2 linked regions of the Macaca fascicularis genome follow. The protein of the gene in region 1 interacts with the protein of each later gene in a pairwise test. Links are inferred from orthologs where the notes say so. Each region holds a gene or a part of one and is shown on either strand. Other genes may lie near its edges.

Evidence for each region. The genes of interacting proteins can lie anywhere in the genome.
Region 2: the proteins of YY1AP1 (region 1) and MAPK14 interact in a two-hybrid assay, tested with the Homo sapiens proteins (2 studies listed by BioGRID and IntAct). The link is inferred for Macaca fascicularis from reciprocal best matches to the Homo sapiens genes YY1AP1 and MAPK14.

What each region holds. Positions count from the first base shown.
Region 1 is NC_088375.1:105,438,441-105,444,509, reverse strand, and holds part of YY1AP1 (YY1-associated protein 1), read right to left. Parts: intron 5,396-6,069; coding exon 5,224-5,395; exon of another isoform or gene 5,185-5,223; intron 2,497-5,184; coding exon 2,352-2,496; intron 823-2,351; coding exon 672-822; intron 1-671. UniProt on the Homo sapiens protein: Associates with the INO80 chromatin remodeling complex, which is responsible for transcriptional regulation, DNA repair, and replication. Enhances transcription activation by YY1. Plays a role in cell cycle regulation.
Region 2 is NC_088378.1:135,568,080-135,574,148, forward strand, and holds part of MAPK14 (mitogen-activated protein kinase 14), read right to left. Parts: intron 5,221-6,069; coding exon 5,141-5,220; intron 2,837-5,140; coding exon 2,758-2,836; intron 1-2,757. UniProt on the Homo sapiens protein: Serine/threonine kinase which acts as an essential component of the MAP kinase signal transduction pathway.

The DNA of each region.
Region 1 (6,069 bases):
CTGCACTCCAGCCTGGGTGACAGTACAAGATTACATTTGACCAAAAAACAAAACAAAACAAAACCCCAAAACATGTAAGTGGAATACTGCATATCATTTCTAGAAAGTTCAAGAAAGAGGCCGGGTGCAGTGGCTCACGCCTGTAATCCCAGCACTTTGGGAGGCTGAGGCGGGCGGATCACGAGGTCAGGAGATTGAGACCATCTTGGCTAACACGGTGAAACCCCGTCTCTACTAAGAATACAAAAAAATTAGCCGGACGTGGTGGCGGGCGCCTGTAGTCCCAGCTACTCGGGAGGCTGAGGCAGGAGAATGGCGTGAACCCAGGAGGCGGAGCTTGCAGTAAGCTGAGATTGCGCCACTGCACTCCAGCCTGGGCGACAGAGCGAGACTCCATCTCAAAAAAAAAAAAAAAAAAAAAGTTCAAGAAAGAGAATTATTACAGGGAAACATGGATTTATGAAATCTTTTAACAGGATGAAGATACTCCAGAGGAACGTAATGAATGAGTCAATGTCCCTGAAAAGGCAACAGGGGAATTCATCTAGTGTATAAGTAGGAGAAATTAGCTTAAGATAAAATAAGGTTCTTTTTTCCTTTCAGAATTACAAGAGGAAAGAACGGATATGTATTAGTGAGGTGCATGGATGGCGCATTCAGGAAACACTCACTTTAATAATGTTGTCAGGAGCTCTGTTCATGTTGAGGTTCTTGATTCTCACTGTCAGTTGGCGGGCAGTCTTGCAGGTTAGAAGGTACTTGCTGATTAGAGGGTTAAGAAACTCAGTCCCTTCAAAATGCTTCAGTCCTAAAGCTAACAAACTGAGAAAGGAGCAATGACACTAAATCTCACTTCACAGTCCTTCCTTCTAAAGGGCCTCCCCAGACTAACACATTTTACAATCTACTTTTTCTCATTTTTTCTTAAGACAAGGTCTCACTCTGTTAACTGGGCTGGAGTGCAGTGGCACAATTGCAGCCCACTGCAGCCACTACTTCCTAAGCTGAAACGATTCTCCAGTCTCAGCCTCCCAAAGTGCTGGGATTACAAGCATGAGCCCATGGCGTGTGGCCCAATCTATTTTTTCATTTTTTCAGACAGGATCTTGCTCTGTTGTCCAGGCTGGAGAGCAGTGGCGTGATTACAGTGCATTGCAGCCTTGAATGCCTGGGTTCAATTGATTCTCGCACTTCAGCCTCCTGAGTATCTGTGGCCATAAATGTTTGCTACCATGCCTAGCTAATGTTTTCTTTCATTATTTGTAGAGACCAGTTCTCACTTTGTTGCCCAGGCTGATCTTGAACTCCTGGCCTCAAGCGATCCTCCTGCCTCGGCCTCCCAAAGTGCCGGCATTACAGGTGTGAGCCGCCATGGCTGGCCAATCTACTTTTTTGACAACTAATTCTTGTGTAAGTTGGTGACTACTCAGTAGAAAATTCCAGGTATTTAGTGAGTAGTGATTAAGTACTATGAATAAGAATCAAATAGTTCACAATTAAGTAGGAGCAAAAGAAACGTCATAAATCATTAATAAATGTCAGATCGTGATGAGCTGTATATTAACAATACAAAGGAAGTTCAAAGAGAATACATGGGAAGGAAAATGATCCTAATAAAACAAATATAAAATGAATAATAAGTACCCTGTCAGACAAATTAAACTGGCACCAATAGTATCCTCTAACATAACATATATAATCATGGTTACATATATACATATTTGCTGATAACAGTGTGGCAATACACACAAAGAGCCATACAAATGTTCATAATCTAGATGGGCGCGGTGGCTCATGCCTGTAATCCCAGGACTTTGGGAGGCCACGAGTGGGTGGATCATTTGAGGTCAGGAGATCAAGAGCAGCCTGGGCAACAGAGACCCTCACCTGTACACAAAAAATTACCCATGTATGGTGGCACACGCCTGTGGTCCCAGCTACTCCATGGAGGCTGAAGCAGGAGGATCGCTCGATCCCAGGAGTTCAAGGCTGCAGTGAGCTGTGATTGCAACACTGCATTCCAGCCTGGGTAAAAGAGTAAGATCTTGTCTCTAAATAAATAACACTAAAAGTGAACCTCCTGCCTTGGCCTTTCAAAGTGCTGGGATTACAGGTGGGAGCCAACACGTCCGGTCTAAAACAATTTAAAAATGTGCGTGACATCCCCCAGAAAGCAGTATTTGGCACAAACAAGCACGTCCTAGAGGAATCTGCTCATCTATACTGCTCTTCCTTTTGTCTTTTGTGTCCATGTTTTATTATACAAATCTTACTTCCCCTAAACTCCTCAAAGGAACTATGTCTTGTCCTTGGGATATTCTGCGTTTTGATGCCCCAGAGTAAACACTTACTTGTCCTCAGCCTTGGTGAAGAGTATCTTATCCTGGGGATTCTTTGCCTTCAGGGAACACACTGGAAGTAACTCTGGGTACATGAAAACCTTGCTTGTGGCCAGGATCCAAGCCACTTGCTTTGGCAAACAGGGAAATTCATTGGCTATAAGAAAATAAATCTCGGATAAATCAGCTTCTAGGAAAAAAGAGGGCTTCAAAAAGCCTATGAATGCATTTCTGCATTTAGGTAGAGCTGTCCTTATCTAACTGGATTTCCCTCCCATCTGCCTAGCATTCCCCAAAGAGTTTCCACAGTCTTTCTTCAACTAACATTATGTCTAAATGGAGTCCCATTCAATGGCTATAAAAGTTGACTCTCTTATTCTTTTTTTTTTTTTTTTTTGTGAGACGGAGTCTCGCTCTGTCGCCCAGGCTAGAGTGCAGTGGCCGGATCTCAGCTCACTGCAAGCTCCGCCTCCCGGGTTCACGCCATTCTCCTGCCTCAGCCTCCCGAGTAGCTGGGACTACAGGCGCCCGCCACCTCGCCCGGCTAGTTTTTTGTATTTTTTAGTAGAAACGGGGTTTCACCGTGTTAGCCAGGATGGTCTCGATCTCCTGACCTCGTGATCCACCCGTCTCGGCCTCCCGATTACAGGCTTGAGCCACCGCACCCGACTGTTCTTTTTTTTTTTTTTAAAGATGGAGTCTGGCTCTGTCACCCAGGTTGGAGTGCGTAGCGCAATCTCGGGTCACTGCAAGCTCTGCCTCCCGGGTTCACGTCATTCTCCTGCCTCAGCCTTCTGAGTAGCTAGGACAACAGGTGCCTGCCACCACGCCTGGCTGATTTTTTGTATTTTTAGTAGAGACAGGGTTTCACTGTAGACAGGATGGTCTCGATCTCCTGACCTTGTGATCCGACTGCCTCGGCCTCCCAAAGTGCTGGATTACAGGTGTGAGCCACTGAGTCTGGCCTCTCTTACTCTTTCTTACGTGTAACACTTTATTCACAAAGTAAAACAAACACTTAAAAAGTACCTAGTAATGGCCGGGCGCGGTGGCTCACGCCTGTAATCCCAGCACTTTGGGAGGCCGAGGCAGGCGGATCACAAGGTCAGGAGATCGAGACCACGGTGAAACCCCGTCTCTACTAAAAATACAAAAAATTAGCCGGGCGCAGTGGCGGGCACCTGTAGTCCCAGCTACTCAGGAGGCTGAGGCAGGAGAATGGCGTAAACCCAGGAGGCGGAGCTTGCAGTGAGCCGAGATCGCGCCACTGCACTCCAGCCTGGGCGACAGAGCGAGACTCCGTCTCAAAAAACAAAAACAAAAACAAAAACAAACAAAAAAAAAGTACCTAGTAATAACTGTCACATAGTGTATGCTCAAAAATGTTTTACCTCCTTTCCCCTTTAAATCTTTGAAGGATAATAGACCTTCAACAATGCTTTTTTTCTTCCAGGATAAAATTCTAGGCCAGGCATGCTGGCTCATGCCTGTAATCCCAGCACTTTGGGAGGCCGAGGCAGGGGGATCACCTGAGGTCTGGAATTCAAGACCAGCCTGGCCAACATAGTGAAACCCCATTTCTACTAAAAATGCAAAAATTAGCCAGGCATGTTTGCACGCACCTATAATTCCAGCTAGTCCGGAGGCTGAGGCAGGAGAATTGTTTGAATTTGGGAGGCAGAGGTTGTAGTGAGCCGAGATCACCTCACTGCACTGCAGCCTGAGTGACAGAGCGAGACCCCATCTTAAAAAAAAAAAAAAAAAACCACACAAAAAAGATTCCAACTTCTTTAATCTCCTTCACAAATCTGGTATTCCAAATTTTACTTTTATTTGATTTTTACTTAACTTGCATTAAGTTCTCCCAGATTCCTCCTGAGGTTGGGAACAAAAGAACCATAAAAGGAATGAGACAATTCAAGTCTCATTCATTTCTCTCTCCCTCTCTCATTCTCTCACTTTCAGGAACCTCTGCAATTCTAAAGACAAAACTACTATATCCCTATTTCTCCTTCCATAAGTGTTATTTTTATATCCCCAGAAGAAAGCAACAGGTCACTAGATGTGTAAGATAATACTATAATGTGGTATTAAATCACATTTTCATTACCATTTTGTATCACTTAACATAGCTATTAAAGTAGTTTGGGATCTGTGTCTATGATATAGTACACTTAAATTCAACTATATTCAATTTAATGATAAGACTCCGGGATTTAAAATAGCATCCAAAGACAAACCCAAATCCAGAACAAACCACAAGTAATTTACTAAATCAGCAAACAAATCAGAAGCAAATATTTGCTTAAGCAAACAGCAAATATTTTCTCAAAAAATATTAAACCAATGCAAGGTAGAAGAATCTAAACTGGCAAATTTTTAAAAAATACTGAATATGGCAAATGTACAATCTCTAACATGTCTAACTTGAAAGACATTTCATTCAGAATGGAGACATCACCTATGATAGAATCATTATGGTAAATGAAGTTAGTTGATCTTAATGAAGAGAGTAAAAAGCTAAACATGACCAAACTTTACCACCTGACTTTCATCTTTACCAGGCCCCAGTTTAATTACATCTGACTCCTAATATCCCTCAGATTGCTATAGTCCAATTCTTAGCACTGAGCCTCATATCTCTACCTCCCATATTCCTATACTGTCCACTGCCTCCATGCCTTACCCAGGCCCAGAGATTATCATGTAATTCTAGAACTCAGATAATGAGTACAAAGGGAGGATAAAAGAGAGAAGAAAGAAATTACAAATGTCCTGTGTCCTCCATTCCCAGGCAAGTATCCTAGGAAGTTATCTATGGGATAAGATTCCCACCACCTCTCACCGCAAGTAAAAACTTAAAGCTGACACATCTGTCTCCTACCAGTCTTCTTGACAGTTTTATGAGGGCTGCAGTCAATGCTGACATGTGTGCTGAAGTCTTCAATAAGCTGCATAGCTCCCATCAAGTTACAGGGTTGGAACAGGGTCTGAAACTTGGGGTTGTACTGATGGTGAAGGGCGATGGAGCTTTGAGCAAAGGTTCCCAGCTCTTTCTGGGAAAACAGGACACAAGGAAGATCTAAGACAATTCCAGACAATTAATACCAGTAGCCTTCAGAATCTAAATGAGAAGCTGACCTTCCTACTACAGGATAAAAACAGGTAAAAATCATCATAAAGTCTTTCACAATAAACTAGTCTGTTAAGATTACGCGTGAGTTCTCAGATATTCAGGGATTATATTCTTGTTTTATTTTTAAACTGTTTATCACTAAGGAATACATGGTCTAGCTCCCGAGCTAGAATTAAGAGGCTCAAGAATGAGGACTATTACTTTAATTTCCTTACTTTGAGACAAGGTCTCGCTCTGCCGCTCAGGCTGGAGTGCAGTGGCACAATCTCAGCTCACTGCAACCTCCTCCTCCCAGGCTCAAGCCATCCTCCCACCGCTGCCTCCTGAGAAGCTGGGACTATAGGCATACACCTCCACACATAGCTAATTTTTGTATTTTTTGTAGAGACAGGGTTTCGTCATGTTGAGCAGGCTGATCTCGCACTCCTGGGCTCGCATCTGCCTGACTCGGCCTCTCATAGTGCTGGGATTACAGGGATGAGCCACCTCACCCGACGAGGACATTACTTTTAAAACTGTTTTGTCTTTTGGTCTCAGAATAATGCCTACAACCAAGTACTCCTCATCCTCCTCTGAATACAGTAAGAGATGAAG
Region 2 (6,069 bases), on another chromosome or scaffold:
AGCTGGGCATGGTGTTATGCGCCTGTAGTCTCAGCTACTTGGGATAGGGAAGAGGAAGGATCACTTAAATGCAAGAGCTTGAGGTTTTAGTGAACCATGACTGTGCCACTGTACTCCAACCTGGGTGACAGAGTGAGATGCTATTTCTTAAAAAAAAAAATCTTGACAGATAAATATATACACTAACATCAAGGGGTAATTTAAGTTTTAATTCATGTTTTGGGAATAGCAGTGAAACAAAGTCAGTGGCTGACGAAACAGAGCTGTTAATATTTATATTGCTGGCATGTTCCTGCTCAGTTAATATGCTGGGCATGAGCTTGTGAGAGTAACACTGTACTCCATCTGCCCGGCAAGGGGAACCTCATTATATGACATCACTGTTTGGCAATGGGCTGTAAGGCACGTTTAAATGCTGAGAAGTACAGTGCTGAGCACCAGATGGACCAAAGCCTCCTTTCAACTCATTAGCAAAGTGGTATCTAGTTCTTTTGGCGGTTTCAACGTCATGATTTCAAAGAATGGGAAGACCTATCAGGAGCTATGTGACCTAAATAAGCTGCTGGAACACAAATATCTCCCCTCTCCCACTAAAACATGAATTAACAAATCTTTCTGAGTCCGTTAAGAGGGTGTCAGTGAGTACTGCCCTGTTTAAAACTTAGGGCTTAGGGCTGTTCTGGACAAATTCAGAACAGAATGACAGACAAGAAAGAACACAACGGGCCGGGTGCAGTGGCTCATGCCTGTAATCCCAGCACTTTGGGAGGCCGAGGCAGGCAGATCACGAGGTCAGGAGATTGAGACCATCCTGGCTAACACGGTGAAACCCAGTCTCTACTAAAGATACAAAAAATTAGCCAGGCGTGGTTGCACACGCTTGCTGTCGCAGCTACTTGGGAGGCTGAGACAGAAGAATCACTTGAATCCAGGAGGCGGAGCTTGTAATGAGCCAAGATCGTGCCACTGCACTACAGCCTGGGCGACAGAGCGAGACTCCGTCTCAAAAAAAAAAAAAAAAAAAAAAAAAAAAAAAAAAAAAAAGAAAGAACACAACATCTTTTCCCAACATCCTGTAGTACTTAAGGCTCAAAGAGAGCTTCTCAGCTCAAATAAATCATACAAAGTCAATTAGAGCATGCCAGGGCAGATGCAAACCTAAACCAATCTCAGTAGAATCGTACCTACCCCTGATGAGACTGTGGATTCATCCTTGGGCAGGAGAGCAACCCAGCTGAGATATGACATACTCTCCGTCTCCAAGGCTGACACGAACTCATCCACAACTGCCCAATACTTCAAAGAGCATGAGCATCTCTGCTATTGTAAGAATTATCACTGCGACACTAAAATTCCTCTCCATAACCACTATGGATGAAGTACTTAAAAAGGTAAAATCACCTAGCCTTCACCCCAGCTTCTAAAGAAGTCAGCATGGCTGTCGGCCCTCAAAAAGATAAAACTAAACCTGAAGCATAGCTGCCAAGACCCTTAAGAAGACACATGACCCACACAGATGCAAAGAAATGCAGTGAGATTTTAAAACATACCACGCAATACAATCTTAAGAAAAGTGAGAAGGTGGATTATACTCGTTATCATAGCATAGCTCCCTTCCCTATTGTAGGGAGGTCCTGGTCTGATCTTTCTGTGTCTACCATTAAACAGCACTGTCCACTGCCCTCTTCTAGAGTCAGGGAATGAGGCTCAGGCAAAGCAGCTTTCAGGGACCATCTGAAGCACACATCAGTCCTCCCCTTCAAAGAATATAGTCAGCCAGGCATGGTGGCTCACATCTGAATCCCAGCACTTTTGGAAGTTGAGGTGGGCAGATTGCATGAGCCCAGGAGACAAAGATTAGTAGATGGTGAGACCCTGTCTCTACAAATAATTCTTTAAAAAATTAGCCAGGCATGGGGATGCATGCCTGTAGTCCTAGCTATGTGGGAGGCTGAGGCAGGAGGATCACTGGAGCCCAGGAGTTTAAGCCTGCAGTGAGCCATGACTGTGCCACTGTACTCTAGCCTGGGTAACAGACTGAGACCCTGACACTACCAAAAAAAATAATAACAATAATAATAATAATAATAATAAAGCAATTGCATTTTTAGCCAAGGCAACACATATCTTCAACTGCCACCATCACTTCCCTCTGCCAAGGATCTTGAAGGCATATGAAGCCATTTCTTTAAGTTTAGGTAGCAAATAAGCTCCACAAAGAGGAGAGGATAGTTACACCTCTAAGGGGCAGAGAAAGAATAAGGGAGGGGAAAAGTTCATGTGTGTGGAAGATGACAGGATCTGTAGCAACGGCAGCTACTGACAGAGCAGAGCACCCTGCAGGGAGTTCCTGGGTGGGTCCTCTAAACACCCACCTGTACTTCAGTGGTTTTTGTCCTCCACTCAGGGACACCATGAATCCACAGCAGTTGTGAACAAGCTACAGCTTTCTTCTGTATCTGCTTCTTCCTGCCTCTCCAATCCTTTATCTCAACATTCCTATTACTTTCTCTCCTTTCTCCACTGTACCTGCCCATTCCCCCGACCCCAAGGTCTGTGATCATTTAAACATATAAGCATCTCATGTAATTAAAAAAAAATCTGACAACACAAATAGATAATAAAAGCCATATTTATCACCTTCCAAGATTCAACTAATGGTACGTTATTTGGTCAAAAGGAGAAACTCTTCTTCATATCCCCAATTTATATCATAACCAATTCAATATCCATGAGGTGAGGATATTGTCAACTTACCCAGGGGATTGGCACCAATAAATACATTCGCAAAGTTCATCTTCGGCATCTGCGTCAAAGACTGAATATAGTTTCTTGCCTGAAAAAACAAGGGTTTTCAGAATTACTTTGTTCAATAATGTTACTTCTCTCAAAGAAAGAACCTTGGTCCTGCTAAGGAACGAGTGTTAACTGACAAAGTCCACTAACTCCAATGTTTATAACTGTCTTTGATAAAACTTCTCCCTTACTGCTATCCTAACTTCCTAGTTATGATCATCACCTTCTTTATTCCTGCTATCTCTCACAGTTGCATTTCAAGTGAACGAGAATACTCATCAATCAAATTCTCTTTCATCAGCTTTCTGATCACAGGATGAGAAGTTTAAAAACTGAGGCCGAGATATGTAAGAAGTAGCCCTTTCTGAGACAGCCTTCTCAAAAAGCTAAAATTGTTAGAAGGGTTGGTATTCCCAAAGTAAGTCTTGGACCAGCAGTCTTTTGATAGTGCTGACTTCAGCAGGTGCTCTTAGCACATCAAAGGACATCAATATTAAACCTTGCTAACAAAGTAACACTGGTAACAAAAAAGTTAATATAAACTTAATATAACAGTCCTACCTCACAGGGTTGGAGTGAAGATTAGAGATAACAAACCTAGTACTTTCTTAACACAGTACTTGGTTCCAAGTGAGAGTTCAAGAAACATTATCTGCTATCCCACTATCACCTTCAGAGAAAAGCAAAGTCTGCTGTCTATCTTAACCACCTTTTTAAAATTTCTGTTTTAATACAGTCCAACAGTAAAGGTATGTATGTATATTTATGTTTACACATACACACACAAGGTTGTAAAAAGTTCTGGTTGCCCAGACACGGTGACTCACGCCTGTAATCCCAGCACTTTGGGAGGCCAAGGAGGGCAGATCACTTGAGCCCAGGGCTTTGAGACCAGCCTGGGTAACATGGTGAAAACTTGTCTCTAAAAACACAAAAAATTAGCCAGGCATGGTGATGCATGCCTGTGGTCCCAGCTACTTGGGAGGCTGAGGTAAGAGGATCACTTGAGCAGGGAGATGGAGCCCAGGAAGCTTGAGCACAGGAGGTGGAGGTTCCAGTGAGCTAAGATTGTGCCACTGCACTCCAGCTGGGGTGACAGAGTGAGATCCTATCTTAAAACAAAACAAAAACAAAAACAAAATCTGGTTGCTTGGGCAAGTTCACCTTATTTATTAAAAAATTTTTTTTAGAGACACAGTCTCTGTTCTGTTGCCTACGCTGGAGATCACTGGCACAATCACAGCTCACTATAGCCTCAAACTTCTGACTCCAGCAACCCTCCTGCCTCAGCTTCCCAAGTAGCTGAGACTGCAGGCGTGTGCTATCATGCCGTAATTTTTAAATTTTTTTGTAGACCTGCAGTATTGCTGTGTTGCCCAGGATGGTCTCAAACTCCTGGGCTCAACTGATCCTACCATCTCAGCTTCCAAAGTGCTGAGAATTGCAGATGCACGCCACCACGCCCAGCCTTCACCTTCTTAATGATTGCATGTGGAGTCAGGAGGAAAGGTCTGCTTTGAAAAGCAACTGAGAATCTTTCTGATTTGAAAAGAAAGTTGTAGGAATTGAATATATAAATGGCTGTAATCCCTTTCTACTTGAACATGTAAATAAAAAGATGAAGGGAAAACAGGTAAGAGACAATTATCTCATTCAGAGAACAGTCATCCCTTTAATAAAGATAAATCAACAGATGACCTGAATATAGCCGAAGTAGAAACAAAGTTGCTGGGAGGGGCTCTCTGTGATGCCAACCCGGTTCCCTAAAATATTAAGGGTATCTTAGAAAGAAAGAAGTGCCCCAATGACCTCTGATAATAAAACAAGAGTTAGACTAAGTAGTTAAGAATAAAGAAGGTACCTAACTGTACCAAAGTGTTTGTATTTATTTTATATTATTTGTGTATTTTCTTTTAAATATAGTATGTATTAGTACTGGATATTTCAGTTTTGTTTTGTTTTGTTTTTAAATAAAGAATTCTCTTTTGGTCATTAAAAAAGTGGATGAATTAGAAAGCATGCTAATGGACTTCAGTTAACTACCCTTCTGATAAAGGTCATGATAGTAGCACACCCTAGCTACAGGCATAGCACCTAGAAAGAAACCGCCTCACGAGCACTAAATTCACAAAACCAAATATAAAAATAACAATTTTCCATCCCCAATCTCACAAGACTGGATGACATTTTATCCCAAAAGTCAACATCCTGCAATAGCACATAGGCAGGCCTCCAGGCACATGCAAGCATCCAGTGATGTTAAAAACTGTTGGTTATACAGTGGCAATAAAATGAGAACGTGGCTTCTCAGTGCGACATCCCTGTACAGTCTCTTTGTTCTCACCTCATGGCTTGGCATCCTGTTAATGAGATAAGCGGGGGGTGTTCCCGTCAGACGCATAATCTGCTGAAGCTGGTTAATATCTTAGATGCCTAGTCAAGGGCATTGTTAAACATACAGTGCAAAAAATAATTTTCAACTCAAGTTTTTAAAAAGGTCAAAAAGCCACCCCTAAACAAACAAAAAAACCTACCCCCCATTCACCCTACCCGAGGACCCAAGGCTGCATGTTAAAGCTTCTGTGAATGACATGAGTCGCTTCTGTGAATGACATGAGTAACTAGGCATGTAGTCAGTGACTGGCCATGCAGATAAGAAAAATTACTTTTCTTTGGTTTTAGCATCATCTTTACTGTTAAATATTTTAGGTTCCCTGGAAACAGACTGCCCCTTGATCCAGGATGCCAGCCAGAGAACTGTTTTCAAGTACTGACGGCCAAAACCTGTTTGTGGGAGAAATATAGATGATTCTAAAATTTTTGACTCAAACTTTGAACAAAATAAAATATCCAACATATCCATTCAAGAAAGAGACTAAACTTTTGCAGCACGGGTTCTCCAAGGCACCATCCCTCCGAATTAAGATACACGTAGGCATCTGGGTTAATAAGCAATGCCACATTTCAAAGATATTATTTAGTGGTACATTTAAAATACTTGCCACAAACACAAAATGGTAAATGAAGAAAGAGGAGACGGGCAGAAGGTTAGAGGCTAATGGCAAAGGCAAAACAGAAGTCACAGGCTGCTGACAGTGTTAAAGCATGCCACATGATTTCCTCCACAAGTCTCTTCAACAAGCGAACAGACTAACCTCACTTAACAAACAGGTGGAGGGAAGTCTGCAAAATACTCTGCAAGTATCTGACAAGGGCAGAACTATGAGATTTTCTATATGTATAGGCACATATGTAAGCTGTACCACAACTTCT